3 linked regions of the Anolis sagrei genome follow. The protein of the gene in region 2 purifies or fractionates together with the protein of the main gene of each other region. This does not show direct contact. Links are inferred from orthologs where the notes say so. Each region holds a gene or a part of one and is shown on either strand. Other genes may lie near its edges.

Region 1 (7,809 bases), about 33 Mb from region 2:
TTTTGAGTTATAAGTAGCTCACATTTACGGTACAGCATATTAAAAACCAACAAACATTTTATTTACAAAGCACATGGAAATAAAAAAGATTCACTTGTCAGTTTGGTTTTCATTTCCCTTTTGTGTAGCTCTCAACATCTATCCGCCTCCAAAAAAAACCTCTTCAAAGCCACTGCATCCAAAGTTGGTTGGGCAATTAAAAAACCCCACTACTGTTTTTGGGGATCTCTAGAAGTGGCAGCTTTGTATTAATACCACCACACTATCGCAACAAACCCAGCACTGATTTCACATTACAATTCTCAGACCAAAATCAAGACTCCTGCCCATACTGACCAACCTGATCTAAGTCTTGATCATTTCATAACATGGATAGGTGCAGAAAAAATACATTTAAAAACCCACTGCACTGATTTCAATGGTAACATAAATGATCTGGGTCCTCCATGAATTAAGAAGTAGATATATGTAATATCATACCAGTGTTTATGTCAATATTCACACATTAACAGACAAATCATAGATTAATTACTATGATTCTGCATCCAATTCAAATACAGGCAGTCCCCGAGTTACAAACATCCGACTTACTAATGACTCATAGTTAAGGATGGGGGAGAGACAAGAGGAAATGAGAGAAATGTACCCCTTGGATTGGAAATTCACTCCTGAAAGAGTTATCATGGGGAAAAGGGCTCTCCACTGTTTTCACAACAAGCCAATTTTTTTTTAAAATCCAATTATCACAAAAAGTTTGGGGAGAACTGGATTGGGTATTCAATAATGCACTGAGTTGTGCATCATTGTATTCCGCAGACTGCAGCTTTTACTGTTGCCTACTGAATTTGCCCATTCCTCAATGGTGAGTTTTTCTCAACCTGTACAGTGCTCCTACTCTTAAGTGAATGTCATTTCCTGAATTCAAATCAATGTCATAAATAAATACACAACAGGTAGGTTTCAGATTAAATAAATAAGTGCTACTTAGCCCCAATTACTAATACAATGCATCACATCTACTTATTATTCCTTAATATCACCACAAAGTTCCTCCTATCTTTATACAGTTAGACCTTGAACACATAAAATACGCTGTACAAATCAATTCACAGTACATGAAGACATGTGCATGCTTCTGAAGAAATTATATAATATTATATTTTCATATGGACTAAATACAAAGTTAAGTCTACATTGCAATCACTAAATGTCTTTATTTGAAAAGTCGAATTGGCTTTTCTCCATATCTGGAGAGAACTGCAGAATAGTTTGATTCTAAGCATTTGTATTCAACTGTAGGTTTGTTTTATTTCAAAACCGACATATCATCAGGTAAGAATCCCTTCTCTGGAACTGGAATTCTGAAATACTCCAAAACCAAAACCTATTCACATGGGTGGCTGAGATACTGTGGCCTTTTGCCTTCTGGTGGTTTAATATACAAAGTTTGTTCTATTAAAAAAATTACTAAAAATACTGTACATAAAATCACCTTTGGGCCATGTGAATAAGGTGTGTACGAAATGTAAATTAATTTTATGTTTAGATTTGGGTTCCACCTGAAAGATGCCCCATTATGTGTATGCAAGTATCCTAAAATTCCAAACACTTCTGGGCCCAAGTACTTCAGATACGGGATATTCAACCCGTAGTACACAATCTGTTATTGCTCAAGCAGAGGGGGCCTGGTTAGTACTTCCTGAGAACTCATCAGCTTTTCGGGAATCCATAAATTCATTCCACATTGTCAAATCCTATCCATTCCAGTCATTGTTGTCCTTTGTCTATCTGCCAGATCACCCAAAGGCCTGGTCCCACGTCCATGTTTTTAGCTTCCTTCTAAAGGAGAGGAGGGATGTCGATGACCTAATTTCCCCAGGAAGTGAATTCCACTGGTGAGGGGCCACCACCGAGAAGGCCCTGCTCCTCGTCCCCACCAATCTCATTTGTGATAGAGGTGGAGCCGAGAGCAGGGCCTCCCCAGAAGATCTCAAACTTCAAAGCGGGACGTAGAAGGAGATGCATTCAGACAGATACGCTGGGCCGGAACCGTATAGGGTTTTGTAGGTCAAAACCAGCACTTTGAGTTATGTATTGTCGAAGGCTTTCATGGCTGGAATCACTCAGTTCTTGTGGGTTTTTTCGGGCTATATGGCCATGTTCTAGAGGCATTTCTCCTGACGTTTCGCCTGCATCTATGGCAAGCATCCTCAGAGGTGAGGTCTTTGAGTTATGCTCGGAACTGGATTGGCAGCCAGTGGAGCTGACATAACAGAGGGGTGGTATGCTCCCTGTATGACGCTCTGGGGAGTAATCTGTCTGCCGCCCACTGGACTAGTTGAAGTTTCCGAACAATATTCAAAGGCCACCCCACGTAGAGTGTGTTGCAGTAATCTATTCGGGATGTAACAAGAGCGTAGACCACTGTGGCCAGATCTGACTTCCCAAGTTTAGTGAGGCATCATCACTCTGTGGCAGATAAGGCCAAATACCTTGTCAAACTACAACTCCCAAGATTACACAGCATTGAGCCAGGCAGTTTAAAGTGGTATCCAACAGTATTAATTTGTCAGTGTGGTTGCATTTGTGTAACTAAACAACTGAATAAATGCAGACTTACCAAATTCCCACTGGTATATTTTGGGTTGCGGTTAACAATATGGATTTAGGCCTGGAAATAACCCTCTCTCCCCCTCCCTTTTGAAATAAGTTCAAAGTTGTCCTTGTGGTCAGTGAGATGAAAGACTGGAGCTCCCATTAGGAAGAGAGGAGGAGCTCATTGTGGGGCAATGGCTCCCTTTTTCATAGAGAGGGAAAGACGCAGGAGAGAGACACTCCAGAGCGAGGGAATGAAGATTCAAATTTCTCAGGAGGAGAGAGAGAGAGAGAGAGAGAGAAAAAAGAGTCTCTCAACACAAGTGCCTCACTTCCGTTCACGCTCTGGCAGACACCGGAAGCTGCAACCGACTCCTTCATCCGTTACGTGCGGTCTAAGAAGCCCCGTTGATAGTGTTTGGGGGCGGACTTGGAGCCCCGCCCCTTCGCCGCCGCTTCTGTCTCTCTGTGGTTACCGCCGCCTAGAGTGGCCGCCTGTGACGTCACGTCCTCTGTTCCTGAGGTTGAGAGGCCAGTGGTGTTGAGGCGCTTCAGGTGAGAGGGTGGGAAGTGCTTGCTCCACAAGTTACCTTTTCCTTCCTTTGAAAAATCCATAGGCAGGCAAGTGGCCACAAGTATCCACATAGGGAAGTCAGGATGCATTTACACAAGGCATGGGGAAACTTGGGCCCTCCAGGTGTTTTGGACTTCAACTCCCACAATTCCTAACAGCCTCAGGCCCCTTCCTTCGCTTAAGCTTCTGAGGGGGGAAAGGAAAGGGCCTGAGGCTGTTAGGAATTGTGGGAGTTGAAGTCCAAAACACCTGGAGGGCCCAAGTTTCCCTATGCCTTGTGTAAATGCAGCTTGACATCAATTAACTGTAATAGTTAAGTGCTCAGATGTACCAGTCCTATGTTTTCTATTTCTAATCATGCTACCCATGCTCTATTCTGCCTTGGTTAGACTACACCTGGAATAGTGTGTCCAATTCTGGGCACCACAATTCAAGAGAGATCTTGACAAGCTGGAATGTGTCCAGAGGAGGGCGACTAAAATGATCAAGGGTCTGGAGAACAAGCCCTATGAGGAGCAGCTTAAAGAGCTGGGCTTCTTTAGCCTGAAGACGAAAAGTCTGAGAGGAGACATGAAAGCCATGTATAAATACGTGAGAGGAAGTCATAGAGAGGAGGGAGAAAGCTTGTTTTCTGCTGCTCTGGAGACTAGGATGCGGAACAATGACTTCAAACTACAAGAAAGGAGATTCCATCTGAACATTAGGAAGAACTTCCTGACTGTGAGAGCCGTTCAGCAATGGAACTCTCTGCCCCGGAGTGTGGTGGAGGCTCCTTTAGAAGCTTTTAAACAGAGGCTGGATGACCAGTGAGATGAAACACAGTAGTTTATTGTAGATATGTAGATATTGACAAGCTGGAATGTGTCCAGAGGAGGGCGACTAAAATGATCAAGGGTCTGGAGAACAAGTCCTATGAGGAGTGGCTTAAAGAGCTGGGCATCTTTAGCCTGAAGACGAAAAGTCTGAGAGGAGACATGATAGCCATGTATAAATACGTGTGAGGAAGTCATAGGGAGAAGGGAGCAAGCTTGTTTTCTGCTGCTCTGGAGACTAGGACATGGAATTATGGCTTAAAACTACAAGAAAGGAGATTCCATCTGAACATCTCCAGCTCATCCCTTGTTTGGGTATCAGCCAGCACGTCAACGACTTAAATCAAGACATAGTTTTCTAAGATCTACAGACACTCGCTGGAACACCTCAGCAAGCGAGAGTCCAAAAGTGGCAGGCTCAAACCCAGAACCTCAATCAATGGCTGATACCAAATGAGAGACTCCCCCCTGGGCACACAGAAAACTGGGCGACTTGGTAGGCGCTGAACAGACTGTGTTCTGGCACCACAAGATGCAGAGTCAATCTTAAGAAATGGGGCTACAAAGTGGAATCCACGACATGCGAGTGTGGAGAAGAGTAAACCACAGACCACCTGCTGCAATGCAACCTGAGCCCCGCCACATGCACAATGGAGGACCTCCTTGCAGCAACACCAGAGGCAGTCCAAGTGGCCAGCTACTGGTCAAAGGACATTTAATCAGCTACCAAGCTTGCAAACTTTGTTTTGTCTGTTTGTTAAAAGTTTGTTAAAAATGTAATACAATTGTTTGGTTGATACTGACACGATAAATAAATAAGTAAATAAATCTGAACATTAGGAAGAACTTCCTGACTGTGAGAGCCATTCAGCAGTGGAACTCTCTGCCCCGGAGTCTGGTGGAGGCCCCTTCTTTGGAAGCTTTTAAACAGAGGTTGGATGACCAGTCGGGGGTGCTTTGAATGTAATATTCCTACTTCTTGGCAAGGGGGTTGCACTGGATGGCCCACGAGGTCTCTTCCAACTCTATGATTCTATGATTCTATTCCTTATGAGCCACCCTGTAAGGCTACTACTCAGTGGAATTATCTTATTGGTATCATTCTCGTAATAAATAGGGAGGGATCTGCGGGAATCAAAAATCTGTATTCACAAAAAGTTTTTGATACTGCCACCAAAGACCCTAAGTAAACTTACCACATATGGAACAACGGGGCAGACATCTTTATAGATGGTAACTCGTCGAAAAAATGGAAAGCATATAAAAATGGAGATGAAAGATAGTGTTGGTATTTCCCAGGAATCTATAATAAGCTTTTTCCATGTATGTTTCATTTACATAACCATGAGTTCCTATGAAGGAATGTATTTAGGAGAATCATAGAGTTGGAAAGACCGCATGGACCACCTAGTCTAAACTCTTGCCATGCAGGAAAAGCACAATCAAAATACCCCCAACAGATGACCATTCAGCCTCTGTTTAAGAGCCTCCAATGAAGAAGCTTCCACTACACTCCGAGGCAGAGAGTTCCACTGCTGAACAGCTCTTAACAGTCAGGAAATTCTTTTTAATGTTTATGTAAAATAACCTCTACTGTAATTTGAACCCACAGCTCCAAGTCCTATTCTCCAGGGCAGCAGAAAACAATCCTGCTCCCTCTTCCTTATAGCATCTTTTCAAATATTTAAATATGGTGATCATGTCTTCTCTCAGTCTTCACTTCTACATGAAGCCGCTGGAGGAGATAATTCAGAGTACAATGTTCTCCGAGCTCAATACAAAGTGCTGGTTTTGACCTATAAAGCCCTATACGGTTCTGGCCCAGCTTACTTGTCCGAACACATCTCCCTCTACGTCCCGCCTCTCAGTTTAAGATCATCCGGGGAGGCCCTGCTCTTGCTCCCGCCAACGTCACAAATATGTCTGGAGGGAACAAGAGACAGGGCCTTCTCGGCTGTGGCCCCCTATCAATGGAACTCGCTTCCCACTGAGGTAAGATCTGCTCCATCCCTCCTGTCATTTAGGAAGAAATGGAAGTTGTGGTTCTGGGACCAGGCTTTTGGACAACAGGCATAGATAGCACTTTGGACATGGAATTGGATATGGAATTGACTGGAACGATGTTACGGCTATTAATACTGTTTTTTACTGTTTTAATGAATGTTTTACTTATTGTTTTAATTGTTATTCTATTGCTGTGTTATATGTAGTGGCATTGAATTGCTGCCAGATGTAAGCTGTCCTGAGTTCCCCTTTGCGGGTTGAGAAGGAATGGGATAGAAATACCGGAAATAAATAAATAAATAAATTCACTTCTGAAGGCCCAGTTCATGGTCTCCAGACTTGATCATTTTAGTCACCCTCCTCTGGACACATTCCAGAAAGATAAACGACTAGTAAAACATTTATTTTTATTTTGTATCAAAAGCATTGCATAAATTAGTATAAAACTGATAAAAATAGGAGCACAAGAAGCTAAATATGTTTTGACCAAAAAAGGACAACAACAACAACAACGGCATTGTCTGTAGCCTCCAACACTTCTTCCTCTGTACATGAGGCAGTAAAACATCAATGCTATGCACCACAAATCTTATTCATTCTCTTTAAAGCAAAGATGGACAGTGAGGTACAGAGGGATGGGAGGATCCTAGATTTGATTGACGATGCATGGAGAGAAGATAAATTACCGTATGAAGATGTGGCAATCCCATTGGTAAGTAAATATTCCAGGTATGACTCTGAATTGATATTCCCCATCCTTTTTATTTACAACCATATATTTTACCATTCGTCCAAACCGCTCCCAGTGCTTATTGCAACAATAAGTTCTAATATTGTAAACCACCGTATTTCCCATGCTGTGAGAAAGGTGACATCGAAATTTCAAAGATAAATAATCTTTAAAAAAACTAAAAAACCTTAATAAATTAACCAAAACAAAACCGTAGTGGCAGTGCAGATGAATGAACGTGTGGATAGTTCATAAGTAGAGCCTAGATCTATTTCAGTTTCATTCCCAGATCGGCGCATTTTACTTCTCACTACATCTCATAAGAAATGCATAGTGGCTTTCAAGATTACTGTGTGTGTACATATAGAACTTTTGTCAGCAAGCCACTGCAGATGAATTCTAAGAATGTTTACTCAAAAGATTTTCTTTGTTTGTGATTATTTTGTTCTATGTGTTCCTATGTTCATCAGTGCAAAGATGTTTTTCTCAGCATTTTAAAACAGTTTTAATATATTTCTGCACCCAGAATGAGCTTCCTGAACCAGAGCAAGACAATGGTGGAACAACAGAATCAGTAAAAGAACAAGAAATGAAATGGTCTGACTTGGCTTTGCAATATCTTCATGAGAATATTCCTCCAACAGGAAACTAGTCTATTGTCAATGTCTCGTGCAGCAATTTCTCTGCAAATGTATTTCTTATTGTTCTTTTCAGCCTTCTTTGCTATGGAAGGAAGGTGTATGTGGAAAATGTCTAGGCTTAAATCACAAGAAATTATTGTCATAGGTCCTTTGCTACTGACGCAATTCCTATCAATGCTTAAAGGATATCACAATTGGCACACACTAAAAACGCTCCAGGTATCCATTTTTAATAATATATATTACTATTATGCTCTTTGCTATGAACCACAAAGCTGAAGTCTGATCACAGGAATATTAAACAATGACCAAACTAGGTGGTAGTTGTCAGCTCAGTTTGGCATTTGAATTTCATTTTTAATTTATTTTTGTGTGAATAGGTAAAACTTGCCAAGTGAAACTGTTTTCCTTTTGTTGGAGGTAAAATACTCCAAAAATTAAATCTTAAACTTC
Region 2 (7,758 bases):
GTCAACGGAAAAACGACCTGGATCCAGGACTTAATCCTGGACGAACGGGCAGATCTGGCGTGCATCACGGAGACCTGGTTGGATGAAGCTGGAGGAGTAAATCTGACCCAGCTTTGTCCTCCGGGTTTCTCCGTGCAGCACCAACCTAGATCCGGAGGGCGGGGAGGCGGGGTCGCAGTGGTCTATAGGGACTCCATCCATCTGACCAGGTGCCCCATCCCGCAGACCGCAAATTTCGAAAGCGTCTACCTGAGGGTGGGTGACCGGGACAGTATAGGGATTCTAGTAGTGTACCGTCCACCTCGCTGCACTACAGTCTCCCTACCTGAGCTAGCGGGGGTGGTCTCGAGCCTGGCATTGAAGTCTCAACGGCTTCTTGTGCTGGGAGACTTCAACGTCCATGCCGAGACAACCCTCACAGGCGCAGCTCAGGACTTCATGTCTGCCATGGCAACCATGGGGCTGTCCCAACAAATATCTGGCCCCACCCACTGTGCTGGACACACATTGGATTTGGTTTTCTGTCAGGGATGGGAACAGGGTGGCGGTGTGGAGGAGTTGTCCATCTCTCCGTTGCCATGGACCGACCACTTCCTGATCAGATTTAGGCTCACTGCGCCCCCTAACCTCTGCAAAGGTGGAGGACCCATTAAGATGGTCCGCCCCAGGAGACTGATGGATCCGAATGGCTTCCTGACGGCTCTTGGGGATTTTCCCGCCACCTCGGTAGGTGACCATGTCGAAGCCTTGGTGGCTCTCTGGAATGGGGAGATGACCAGGGCTATTGACATGATTGCTCCGGAACGTCCCCTCTCAAGTAGCCGAGCTAAACCAGCCCCTTGGTTTACTGAGGAGCTGGCAGCTATGAAGCGAAGGAAGAGGGAACTAGAGAGCGTGTGGCGTTCGGAACCGAGCGAGTCAAACCGAGCACGGTTTGTGTCCTCTCTTAGGGCATATGCCGCGGCAATAAAGACCGCAAAGAAAACTTTCTTTGCGGCCACTATTGCGTCTGCAAAGAACCGTCCGGCGGAGCTGTTTCGGATTGTCAGAGGTCTTTTAACTCCCGCCTCTGCAGGTGGGAGCCCTGACAATTCGGTCGCGCGCTGTGAAGCATTTGCTCGGTTCTTCGCAGACAAAGTCGCCTTGATCCGTTCTGGGCTGGACGCCGCGTTAGATGCAGACTCTGTGGATGTAACGAGAGCACCTGCTTGTCCTATTTTGTTGGATTCTTTTCAGTTTGTGAAACCCGAGGATGTGGACAAGATACTTGGAGGAATGAGGCCCACCACGTCCATCCTAGACCCCTGCCCATCCTGGCTTCTGAGAGAGGCCAGAGGGGGATTGGCCGAGTGGGTAACAGTGGTGGTGAATGCCTCCCTTCGGGAAGGCAAGATTCCAGCGAGCCTAAAACAGGCTATTATAAAGCCGCTGTTGAAGAAGCCATCACTGGACCCCACTAAATTGGACAACTTTCGGCCTGTTTCCAATCTCCCCTTTTTGGGCAAAGTCATGGAAAGCGTGGTGGCCTCACAACTCCAGGTATTCTTGAGAGACACGGATTATCTGGATCCGGCACAGTCTGGTTTCAGACCGGGGCATGGTACCGAGACGGTCTTGGTCGCCTTAGTGGATGATCTGCGCCGGGAGCTAGACAGGGGGAGTGTGTCCCTGTTGGTGCTCCTGGACCTCTCAGCGGCCTTCGATACCGTCGACCACGGTATCCTTCTGGGGCGCCTTGCGGAAATGGGTCTTGGAGGCATTGCTTTGCGGTGGCTCCGGTCATTTCTGGAGGGTCGCACCCAGAAGGTGTCATTGGGGGACTCCTGTTCCGCACCACAACCTTTGACTTGTGGGGTGCCACAGGGTTCCATACTGTCCCCCATGCTATTTAACATCTACATGAAGCCGCTGGGTGAGATCATCCGGAGTTTCGGGGTGCGGTGTCATCTGTACGCAGATGATGTCCAACTCTGTCACTCCTTCCCACCTGCTACTAAGGAGGCCGTCGAGGTCCTGAACCGGTGCCTGGCCGCTGTAACGGTCTGGATGAGGGCGAACAAACTGAAACTAAATCCAGACAAGACAGAGGTACTCCTGGTCAGTCGCAAGGCCGAACGGGATATAGGGTTACAGCCTGTGCTGGACGGGGTCGCACTCCCCTTGAAGGCGCAGGTTCGCAGCTTGGGTGTGACCCTGGACTCATCGTTGAGCCTGGATCCCCAGGTTTCAGCGGTGACCAGGGGAGCATTTGCACAGCTTAGGCTTGTGCGCCAGCTGCGCCCGTATCTCGGGAAGTCTGACTTGGCCACGGTGGTACACGCTCTTGTCACATCCCGCCTGGATTACTGCAACGCTCTCTACGTGGGGCTGCCCTTGAAGACGGCCCGGAAGCTTCAGCTGGTCCAGCGTGCGGCAGCCATGTTACTAACTGGAGCGGGTAGCAGGGAGCACACAACGCCCTTGTTGTCCCAGCTTCACTGGCTGCCGATTTGCTACCGGACCCAATTCAAGGTGCTGGTCTTGGCCTACAAAGCCCTAAACGGTTCCGGCCCAAAATACCTTTCTGACCGCATCTTGGCCTACGAGCCCACGAGGACCTTGAGATCGTCTGGGGAGGCCCTTCTCTCGATCCCGCCTGCATCACAGGCACGGCTGGCGGGGACGAGGGAGAGGGCCTTCTCGGTGGTGGCCCCCCGGCTGTGGAACACTCTCCCGGCACACATCAGACAGGCGCCCTCCCTCATGTCCTTTCGAAAAAGCCTTAAGACCTGGCTGTTCGAGAGGGCATTTAATTAAGTGCTAAGCAACAACATTACGGTAATGAGAACTGGAATGGTATAAGGAAAATGAGACTGGCTATGATTCTATTAAGAGACGAAGCGGATTTTTATGTAGTTTGTATTTGTTGTATAGTCATATGTTGTTGATACTGGCCTCTGTAACTGTCTTTTTATGTGTACTGTACACCGCCATGAGTCGCCCGTAAGGGCTGAGAATGGCGGTCAATAAGTGCATCTAATAAATAAATAAATAAATAATAAATGTCTCTACTCTTTACTATTTTATCGAGATTGGACATTGCTCTCCTCCCAAGAAGTAAGCGTCTTCTGATTTCCTGGCCACAGTCTGCATCTGCAGTCATCTTTGCACCTAGAAATACAAAGTCTGTCACGGCCTCCACATTTTCTCCCTCTATTTCCCAGTTGTCAATCATTCTTGTTGCCATGATCTTGGTTTTTTTGATGTTTAGCTGCAACCCAGCTTTTGCGCTTTCTTCTTTCACCTTGATTAAAAGGCTCCTCAGCTCCTCCTCGCTTTCGGCCATCAGAGTGGTGTCATCTGCATATCTGAAGTTGTTAATGTTTCTTCCAGCAATTTTCACCCCAGATTTGCATTCATCAAGCCCCGCACATCGCATGATGTGTTCTGCATACAAGTTAAAAAGGTTGGGTGAGAGGATGCAGCCTTGCCGTACGCTTTTCCCAATCTTGAACCAGTCTGTTGTTCCGTGGTCCGTTCTTACTGTTGCTACTTGGTCCTTGTACAGATTCCTCAGGAGAGAGGCAAGGTGGCTTGGGATGCCCATCCCACCAAGAACAATTTATTATGATCCACACAGTTAAAGGCTTTAGAATAGTCAATGAAACAGAAATAGATGTTTTTTCTGAAACTCCCTTTCTCTTTTTTGGCTGATATCCAAACAGGCGATGAACTGATGTCTCTGCCTTGGTCCTTTCACTATTGGCTGCCACTTCCCGGTGGAAGTGCACTTGACAGATGCAACTATCTTTCGGGTTGCAAAGGTCGACAACAAGCTACACAACTGGTCGGAAGCTCACTCCGACCCGGGCTGGCTTTGAACTCGTGACCTTTTGATCAGAATGTTTTTTTGTGAGTGACGGTCACTCGTTGGCCTGAGAGGTGTCCACATTTGGTGTCAATTCGTCCAGTGGTTTTTGAGTTATGTTAATCCCACAAATGGAGCCCCCGGTGGCGCAGTGGGTTAAAGCACTGAGCTGCTGAGCTTGTTGAGCGAAAGGTCGCAGGTTCGATTCCGGGGAGCGGCGTGAGCTTCCGCTGTCAGCCCTAGCTTCTGCCAACCTAGCAGTTCGAAAACATGCAAATGTGAGTAGATCAATAGGTACCGCTCCGGCGGGAAGATAACGGCGCTCCATGCAGTCATGCCGGCCACATGACCTTGGAGGTGTCTACGGACAGCGCTGGCTCTTCGGCTTAGAAATGGAGATGAGCACCACACCCCAGAGTCAGACATGACTGGACTTAATGTCAGGGGACTACCTACCTACCTTTAATCCCACAAATAATAGTAAGTATTTTTATATTATTAATATATCAGTATTAGTAATATATTGTTAGGAGTATTAGTGTACTAATAGGAGACTAATAGGAGACTCTGTGGAGACTAATAGGAAACTGTGGAGACTAATAGGAAACACACCCACCCCGCCTTCGCCCTCTGAGGCGAATGAAGAAGCAAAGGAAGGAAGGGAAGAAAGAAAGAAGCGCGGAGAGCTTTGCCGTTGGGCGCGCGCGCAGGAGCGAGGCAGGGCGCATGCGCACAGCGGAAGGATTCGAAGGTCGGTGTAGGACGACACACACACGCACAGAGAAAAAAAGAAGATCCCTCCGCGCCTGTGACCCGCCGCCAGAGACTGAGGCAGGCGGAGGTGGGAGAAGAAGAAGAAGAAGCCCCGCCCCCTCGCTTGCGCCGCTCCTCCTCCTCCTCTTCCCCCCTCCCTCCTCCTCCTCCTCCTCCTCCTCCCCCCAGCCGGGTGTGAGGAGGGGGCACCCCGAGGGTTGCTTGGCCTTCCTTCTCTCCTTCCTTCCTCCCTTCCCCCCTCCCCTCCCGCTCCTCCCTCCTCCCCCTCCCCCTCAGGTGGGGATCGCTTCGAGAAGCCCGTCCCAGCGTCCTTTGCGGCCCCAACATGGAGGAGCTGGCGGTGGAAGTGCGCGGCTCCAACGGGGCCTTCTACAAGGTAAGGCCTCGCTCGCCCGCCCGCCCTCAACCCTCATGGGGAGCTACAACAGGCATGGGCAGGCTCGGGCCCTCCCTCAGCGGGTTTGGGACTCCAACTCCCACCATTCCTAACAGATTCAGGCCCCTTCCTTTTCCCCTTCAGCCGCTTAAGCGGCTGAGGGGGAAAAGGAAGGGGCCTGAGGCTGTTAGGAATGGTGGGAGTTGGAGTCCAAACCCCCTTGAGGGAGGGCCCGAACCTGCCCATGCCTCTATAAGTTTGGGGCTTTGTTTGTGTTGGTAGAAAACCCCTTTTCATCAATACATTGTATCCCCCCTAAAAAAAATAACATTAAGCCAGGTAAGGCGTGTATGTCCCTCTCTCAATGTCTATGTTTAGATACATAATAATAATAAACTTTATTGTGTTGGTAGTAATAAAAATAATAATAAACTTTATTGTGTTGGTAGAAAAGCCCACTTCATCAATACATTGTATCTCCCCTAAAAAACAACAACATTAAGCCAGGTAAGGCGTGTATGTCCCTCTCTCAATGTCTATATTTAGATACATAATAATAATAATAATAATAATAATAATAATAAACTTTATTGTGTTGGTAGAAAAGCCCACTTTATCAATACATTGTATCCCCCCCTAAGAAAAACAACATTAAGCCAGGTAAGGCGTGTATGTCCCTCTCTCAATGTCTATATTTAGATACATAATAATAATAAACTTTATTTGTACCCTGCCACCATCTCCTCAATGGGGACTCGGAGCGGCTTACATGGGGCTTAACCCGAACAAGAATTAAAATATAACAATACTGCTTTGATTTGGATGGAAAATAGGAGAAAGGCAAGTCAGAAGTATGTGCATCAATAGGAGCATAGTGTCTAGATCTAGGGAAGTCATGCTACCCCTCTATTCCGCTTTGGTTAGACCACACCTGGAATATTGTGTCCAATTCTGGGCACCACAATTCAAGAGAGATAGGGACAAGCTGGAAGGTGTCCAGAGGAGGGCGACTAAAATGGTCAAGGGTCTGGAGAACAAGCCCCATGAGGAGTGGCTTAAGGAGCTGGGCATGCTTAGCTCAAATGAGAGGAGATATGATAGCCATGTATAAATATGTGAGAGGGAGCAAGCTTGTTTTCTGCTTCCTTGGAGACTAGGACGCGGAACTATGACTTCAAACTACAAGAGAGGAGATTCCATCTGAACATGAGGAAGAACTTCCTGATTGTGAGAGCCGTTCAGCAGTGGAACTCTCTACCCTGGAGTGTGGTGGAGGTTCCTTCTTTTTAAACAGAGGCTGGATGGCCATCTGTAAGGGGTGATTTGAATGCAATATTCCTGCTTCTTGGCAGGGGGGTTGGACTGGATGGCCCATGAGCCTCTTCCAACTCTTTGATTCTATGATTCTATGAATACAAATTGCAATAAAATAAACAACATAACATTAAAATAAAACATCAAAGCATATAAAACAATATACACAGAACATAGGGACTAAACATAAGATACATAAGGAGAGGAAGGAAGTAATATACACAATAGAAATTATTATAAAAAACAAAGAGGGAAAACAAGTTTTGGGCTGTGTTTGAGGAGTTTGTGAATATATTATATTCCCCACAATATTAAGTCAGGCAATCCCTCTATATCTATATGTATCTATATAAATAAAAATGTAATGTACGTGTGTGGGATTAATATAACTCAAAAAGCACTGGGCAAACTGACACTAAATTTGGACACAATACATCTATCAGGCCAATGAGTGGCCATCACTCATAAAAACACTGAACCCTCTATCTATATAAATGTAATGTATGTTTGTGGAATTAATATAACTCAAAAAGCACTGGACGAACTGACACCAAATTTGGACTCAATGAGTGGCCATTACTCATAAAACACTGAACCCTCTATATATCTATATAAATAAAAATGTAATGTATGTTTGTGAAATTCACATAACTCAAAAAGCACTGGGCAAACTGACACCAAATTTGGATACAATACATCTATCGGGCCAATGAGTGTCCATCACTCATTAAAACACTGAACCCTCTATATATCTATATAAATAAAAATGTAATGTATGTTTGTGGGATTAATATAACGCAAAATGCACTGGACAAACTGACACCAAATTTGGACACAATACATCTGTCAGGCCAATTAGTGGCCATCACTCATAAAAACACTGAAAAACACAGTGGAAGAGAATTTAAAAAGCCAAAATAATAATAATTAAAAAAAATACATTACAACGCATGCACAAAAACACATATATACATAAACACACATTATATACATATACACAAATATATATAAACATATATGCATATATATATACACACACACACACACAACATATATACAGAAGGGGGAGGACAGAAGGAAATAAAGTGATAGAAGAAAGGAAAGAAAGAGAGAAGGAAGGAGAGAAGGGATGAAAGACAGAAAGAGGGAAGGAAGGAAGAAAAGAGAGAAGGATGGAACTCGAGAGCAAAGGAAGGGAGGAAAGAAAAATGTAGAGAAGGAAGAAAGAAGAAGGGAAAGAAAAAGAGGGAAGGAAGTAAAGAGAGAGTGAAGAAAGGAGAGAAAGAGGGAGGGAAGGTTGGCCACAGCAATGCGTGGTGGGTACAGCTAGTAAACAATAAAAATTACTATAAAAAAGAGGGAAAATACGTTTATGGGCTGTGTTTGAAGAGTTTGTGAACATATTGTATTCCACACAATATTAAGGCAGGCAAGGCCTATCAATACC
Region 3 (6,956 bases), about 120 Mb from region 2:
AGTTCTGATTTTCTGAATGAAAGCAATGTTAAAACTTTCCCAGTGGAAACATCTTAAAATCCTTGATGCCAGTGAAAAAAATATTAGGGTAAATGTGGAAATCCTTTAATCATATTTGGTATAAAACTCTCCTTGGCACTTGTATGGACTTCTATAAGGGAGGGGAACAGATTCCCAAGCAATTTTTAACTGCAACTTCCATTAGGCATGCCTATGACAGATAATGTTTAAGCGTTTATTCAATCAGTACTCCAAGACATATGGAGGTCCAAAGTTTCAAACCCATGATAAATTTGCATTTTACTCTTAGTTTTTGGAATATATATATATAACAATGGTGATCATTAAAGTAATAATTGCTACTGGCTAATGTAAAAAATATAGATCGGGTCAATGAGAAGGGCATTTTGAAAACCAATATTTGTTTTGGAATATTTAATAAAACCAATGTAAACAAGGGAGGAAAAGAAACATGTAAGTCTCAGTTGTAGAAGTATATTGTTTCTATTGTGCAAGTCCCAACTTCAAACTCTGACTTCTATTGAAAGAGAAGTAAAAGCCCTTTGCCTGAGAACCTGAAAAGTGCTTCCAGTAAAAATAGACAATATTGGATGTTATGGACTAATGGTTTGATCTGGTATCATCCAGCTGCCTGTAGATGTTAATTTTAAAACATTTTAAAGCAATAATTGTATAAAGCTATGAATAAAACTCTGTGTTTCTTAACTGTTAGTAGAGGAACATTTCCTCCAGAAAGCGACTTCACATATATGTTAGGATTCTTCTGGATACATAAGATCCTTTAATAGATTTTGATTACATAAAATCTGCATGAATGTCTTAGTGACTTGTAAACAGGAAATCAAATTACCTATCTGTATGGCTATATGAAGGAGATCTGATGCTACATTAGTCTGAGGCCAAGGGAGACAAGGAAGAACCCATGAATATTTCATGCCTCCTTTCCTTTAAAAAGCAGCAATAACTTACAGTTCTCCTTCTATTGCATTTTTTTTTACAAAGGTTCAAACATGGAATCCTGTTTTCCTATGTGGGAAAAATAAATCAAGCATTGCCAGGAATTTTTTTTAATTATCAGAAATTTTTGAAATTTGGTTGATAAAATAAGCTGGAAAAGCCCATTTTATTAGCTGATTAGACTTGTCGTTGCTTGGTATTTAATATATTGTTATGTGGTCATTTTGATACAGCGGGAGTAAAGAATTTACAAAAGTTTACCAGTGGTCATATTGAATAGCCTGACATTAATCATCATGTTCGATTATGCTTTCATAATCATATGCCAAAGGCTGTCTGCATTGTTTATATTTTATCATAACCATACTTTTCTACAAAGTAGGAAAGTTTTAATTTTAAAACATCATGTTATGCCATTATTTTTTTTATTGAACAGAATTCATTTAGTATGTAAGGTCCATAAGATCCTCTATTTTGAGAGGAGTCTCTGCCACTTTGTGACAGGAAAGCAGTCTAGTTCTGCCTTGCAAATTTTCTCTTGGAGGCCTTGCTTATTAGCATACTGGAAATGCTCTGGTGATGTTCTCATTTTATGCTTATTATATGGTTATGTAAATCTGTTTGTTCATTATTGAAAGACTCAATTGAAAACATTAATCTGATTTAGAGTAAAGCAATAGATGTCAAGTTAAAATTTCTTCTATGTGGCTGCTGCTTCACTGTAAAAAAAAACACTTTTCTTGCTTTACTGCAACAGCAAAGCAAAAACTCATGCTTTTAAAGTAAGGGAAAAGTCAAATAATATCTTCAGTCAAAGTAGGATTTGTGAAAATAGTGAACTTGGCAATACAAATAGATATTATTAATTGAAAAAATAAGCAAGTAACACCTACAGTTAGGTAATAACTGGAATGACATAAAGTATGCAAGACTTTTGGTTCTCTGGCACTCATCAGGCATAGTGGGACAGTGAGTAGGCAGGTAAAGAAACAAAGGAATCCCATAATAAGGGGCCATAAGAAGATATTGGTCATACATAACCAACACCAACCTGACAAAAGCACTTTGGAAACTTCTGAGTAGCATCCAAAAGCAGGTCCGCACAGAGCTCATACTGGCAATCCAAACAGGTGTAACTGGGACTAGTGGCTAGATTTGACATCTCAACAAATAAGTGCAGCTTGTTGTTCATTCGTTCAGTTGTTTCCGACTCTTTGTGACCTCATGGACCAGCCCACGCCAGAGCTCCCTGTCGGCCGTCACCACCCCCAGCTTCTTCAAGGTCAGTCCAGTCACTTCAAGGATGCCATCCATCCATCTTGCCCTTGGTCAGCCCCTCTTCCTTTTACCTTCCACTTTCCCCAGCATAATTGTCTTCTCTAGGCTTTGCTGTCTCCTCATGATGTGGCCAAAGTACTTCAACTTTGTCTCTAGTATCCTTCCCTCCAATGAGCAGCCAGGCTTTATTTCCTGGAGGATGGACTGGTTGGATATTCTCGCAGTCCAAGGCACTTCACGGTTTCGCTCATGACATCATTGAGGTGCTCAAGCTCCAGCGCCACGACAAGGAGGTGACCCTTTGCTGGAGCTAGCACAGTAATTTTAACTGTGTGAAGGCACTCCTGTCCACTGCTGAATGTGAGTTTTTGGGCTCATGACTGAATCCAGAAGTATGCTCAAGCTATGGACTATTTCTGGGCATAACCTGATTCATCTTTTGGTAACACCTCTATTTTGCCTGAATTAACCTTCAATATGTTTGCCGCCATTCATTCCATTGTTAAACATATTGATTTAGTGCCAAAATGAAATCTGCCCATGTGAAGCAGATAAATATAGCACTATACGGAAAATTGGAGCCCCCGGTGGCGCAGTGGGTTAAAGCACTGAGCTGCTGAGCTTATTGATCGAAAGGTCGCAGGTTCGATTCTGGGTAGCGGCGTGAGCTTCCTCTGTCAGCTCTAGCTTCTGCCAACCTAGCAGTTCGAAAACATGCAAATGTGAGTAGATCAATAGGTACCGCTGTCATAAACCTACACTTGTTGATAGATTCTATAAGCTAGCTGGCATTGCCCCCCCCCCCCCCCCGCCCGCCATGTGCAATGGGAAAATGCTGCCAATTGCAAGAAAAATAAGGTTGAACACTGTGAAAGCCGCCCACTGCATGGATATCAGCCTCCTTCCAGTAGACTTAAATCAAGGAAAAGTTAAATGAGAAGCACTACGCCTCTAAATGTTCCTCCAGCAGCAGCAATAACAGATAATATGGGATAAACACAAAATTAGGGACCGTATCCTGGGACATTGGGCCTGTCTGGGGCCCTTTCCAAACAGCAGCATAAGATCCCACACGATCTGCTTTGAACTGGGATATATGGCAGTGTGGACTCAGATAATCCAGTTCAAAGTAGATACTGTAGGATCTCCTGTCCTGATATTCTGGGTTCTATGGCTGGGTGGAAGGCCTTGTGGTCCATATTGCCATAGATTCCAATGCAAAGCCGATAATGTGGGATTGTATTCAGCTGTATGGAAGGGACCTCAGATATTTCAGTTCAAAGCAGACATTGTGGATTATTCTGCCTTGATATTCTGGGTTCCATGGCTGTGTGGAAAGGCCATAACAAAAAATAAATAAACCTTGAAAGAGACCACTAGCACGCCCATGCAGGAGAGAAAGTGCGATTTCTGACTGGAGCCTACTTTCGCCTGCGTTTTCTGAGGCGAGGACACAACGCGAAAGGCAGGGTCCCCGCGCATGCGCACAGCCAGCCAAGAGACGTTCCACGCGGGCAAGCCTTTCCCCGCCCTTTCCTAACAGCCGAATTAGCCGCCAGCGCGACAGTCCGGGGAACTCTATGGCGGAAGTGGGGAGGGCGCTCTTGCCGAGCTGGCTTCCGGTAGCGTGTGAGAGGCGGCTTGGCGGGGGAAGGGAGGGGCGGGGAAGGGAAGGGAAGGGAAGGGGCGCTGTGGTCGGGGCGGAGGCGGGGCCGAGGCCGAGGCCTCCTCTGCGCCGGGCGCCACCTGGGCCTCCCCCGAAAGGCCTCTCCCCCGCGGAAAGAACTTCGTGAAGGAGGAAAAGGAGGAGAGGAAGAAGAAGAGGAGGAGGGACCATGGCTGACGGCGCCGCCTCGACCCTCGCCGAGTCCGGCTGGTGAGGGAGGGAAGCGCCGCAGAGGAGAGGAGGGAGGGGGTTGCTTTGCGTTCTCCCTCTCGGCGCCCTTTTGTATACATGGCCGTCTCCCTTTGTAGACGGAGCAGCCTTGGCTCGCTCAGCAGAGGCCCTCAAACCACCCTTCCCTTGGCCTTGGCCCTCTCGCCTGCATCACAACTGTGGTGGTTGTCCTAAAGTTGGGAAATTTACACTCCCCTCTGCACTGAGATAGTGACACTTGGGGTTCCCAACGCCACAGGCCTCGTTACAATGACAGCATTATTTTACAGCCGTGTATACAATTACACTTGTGTGTATGGGGAACATCTATGGCTTTCGCGTGTAGACTTCGGCCTCCTCTCCAAAATATCGCGGGATGTTTAATCTCGTGGTGCAATAGTACAATGACAATAAAGCTATTCTATTCTATATACCAATAATAATACAATATAATAATTTTGTGTTTCATCTATATAAATAAAAATGTAATGTTCGTTTATGGGATTAACATAACTCAAAAACCACTGGACGAATTGACACCAAATTTGGAGACAATACACCTCTAACAACCCAATGAGTGACCATCACTCATAAAAGCACTGAAACACACAGCAGAAGAGAATTAAAAAACCAAAACACAGAAAATGCATTACAACGCATGCGCAAAACCACATATATACACAAGCACACATATCTACAATACACCGAACAACCCAATGAGTGACCATCGCTCATAAAAGCTCCCGGTGACGCAGTGGGTTAAACCCCTGTACCGGCAGGACTGAAGACCGACAGGTTGCAGGTTCGAATCTGGGGAGAGGCGGGTGAGCTCCCTCTATCAGCTCCAGTTCCTCATGCAGGGACATGAGAGAAGCCTCCAACAAGGATGATAAACATATCATCCGGGCGTCCCCTGGGCAACGTCCTTGCAGACGGCCAATTCTCTCACACCAGAAGCGACTTGCAGTGTCTCAAGTCGCTCCTGACAAAAAATAAAAACTCATAAAAGCACTGAAAAACACAGCAGAAGGGACTTAATAAGCCAATAAATAAATAAAATAAAAAAACACATTACAATGCATGCACAAAACCACATATACACAAATATATACACACACACATATACACACACAGATTACATATACATAGACTGGGCCACAGTAACGCGTAGCAGGGGATGGCTAGTATTACTAACAATATTACAGTATAGTGATATAGTACAATACAGTAATATATAATATTAATATTGTACTATTCTAATAATATATTGTATGTACATATAACTTGTAAGCCACTCTGAGTCTCTTTTGGAGTGAGAAGGGCAGCATGTAAATGTCATAAATAAAATAAATATATGCAAAGATATATATCCTAAATTCTAAAACGCTTCTGTAATCCCTTTTTGTTTTGTTTTGTAATCCTTTTAATTTCAGCACATGTTTTAACTGTTACATATTTTTGCCTATCAGTGACAACCTTCTGAATTTTATTAATATTTATTATTGTGTGAGTTTAATGTTTGATTTGGTTTTATGTTTATTATTAGCTACAGTATGGTCTTGGTTATCCAACATAAACGGGTTGGCAGAATGATTTTACAAATTAAGCATCAAAACATCTTGTTTTACAACAAATGGACAGAAAAAGCAATTCAATACACGGTAATGTTATGTAGTAATTACTGTATTTACAAATTTAGCACCAAAACATTGCAATGTATTGAAACAGTTGTGGATCTGGGCGGGAGGCAGACGGTGTTGGATAATACAGAACATTGAATCAGCAAAGGTTGGATAAGCAAGACACTACTGTATATTGTGTTCTTCTGTTGTAAGCCGTCCCGTTATATAAATAATGTTGTTGCTGTTGTTGTTGTTATTATTCTGTTACCAAGAGTTTTTGAGAAGGGATACTCAGCGTCTCACTACACTTGAGCATTTCCCCCACTTTAGTCCACTTTAAATCCAGTTTCTGCCTCCTGCAGAACTCTGGAGCTTGTAGTTTAGGGCGACCCAGGGCTTCTTTGGCTGAGCAGTTTAAAGGCCCCTCTCTAAACTACAAATCCCAGAATTCTGCAGGAGGCAGTCACAGCATATAAAAACGCTCAAGTGTTATAAGGTCCTGAGTATCCCTTCTCCAAAACCCTTGGGAACAATAATAATAACAACTCTATTCTTATACCGCACCACCATCTCCCCAAAGGGACTCAGGACAGCTTACATATGGCTAAAAATGCCTACAAAACAAAAGAAAAGCAATCCATTAAAGCAAAACCACAATTAAAATAAGAGCATAGTAAAATATATCAAGATAAAAACAAATAAAAAAAGAATATAAAACATAAAACTGAAGTGTTTTGGATTTTAGGATAGTTAGATTTGCATATAAAATAGCTTTATTGTTATTGGGCCCTTCCAGACAGGCTCTGTATCCCAGGATCTGATCCAAGTTTTTCCGTTTATCCCAGATTATTTGGCAGTGTGGAGTCATATAATCCAGTTTAAAGCAGAAAACCTGGCATCAGATCCTGAGATATAGGTCCTGTCTGGAAGGGCCCATTGTACTATTGCACAAGGAATTTAATTGTGATGAGGCCCTCACATTGTAGTGCCAGAATCTTTTGTTTGATTCCTGAAGCAGACTGTCTAACCAAAATATACATTTACATAGCAATACCAGTATATGTGACTTTCTGTTGACAATGCAACGGGAACACAGACATGCCTGTCTCTTAAGGAATTTGCAACCTAAATTTTGGGCACAACAGGGTAAGGGAAGGGAGAGCATAATGTCTTCAACTAACGTATGCAGATGAAGCAACCAC

What was found.
Region 1: the proteins of FXR1 (region 2) and CEP63 purify together in Homo sapiens (co-immunoprecipitation; 3 studies listed by BioGRID and IntAct, with this or other methods). This does not show direct contact. The link is inferred for Anolis sagrei from reciprocal best matches to the Homo sapiens genes FXR1 and CEP63.
Region 3: the proteins of FXR1 (region 2) and TDRD3 purify together in Homo sapiens (affinity purification with mass spectrometry; 3 studies listed by BioGRID and IntAct, with this or other methods). This does not show direct contact. The link is inferred for Anolis sagrei from reciprocal best matches to the Homo sapiens genes FXR1 and TDRD3.

What each region holds. Positions count from the first base shown.
Region 1 is NC_090023.1:225,698,476-225,706,284, forward strand, and holds the start of CEP63 (centrosomal protein of 63 kDa), read right to left. Parts: upstream 3,016-7,809; 5' UTR 2,928-3,015; intron 2,914-2,927; exon of another isoform or gene 2,621-2,913; intron 1-2,620. Other genes in the region: ANAPC13 (anaphase-promoting complex subunit 13), read left to right, coding at 6,599-6,697, 7,242-7,367. UniProt on the Homo sapiens protein: Required for normal spindle assembly.
Region 2 is NC_090023.1:258,304,563-258,312,320, forward strand, and holds the start of FXR1 (RNA-binding protein FXR1), read left to right. Parts: upstream 1-4,651; 5' UTR 4,652-4,946; coding exon 4,947-4,997; intron 4,998-7,758. UniProt on the Homo sapiens protein: mRNA-binding protein that acts as a regulator of mRNAs translation and/or stability, and which is required for various processes, such as neurogenesis, muscle development and spermatogenesis.
Region 3 is NC_090023.1:136,662,826-136,669,781, reverse strand, and holds the start of TDRD3 (tudor domain-containing protein 3), read left to right. Parts: upstream 1-3,941; 5' UTR 3,942-4,091; coding exon 4,092-4,132; intron 4,133-6,956. UniProt on the Homo sapiens protein: Scaffolding protein that specifically recognizes and binds dimethylarginine-containing proteins. Plays a role in the regulation of translation of target mRNAs by binding Arg/Gly-rich motifs (GAR) in dimethylarginine-containing proteins.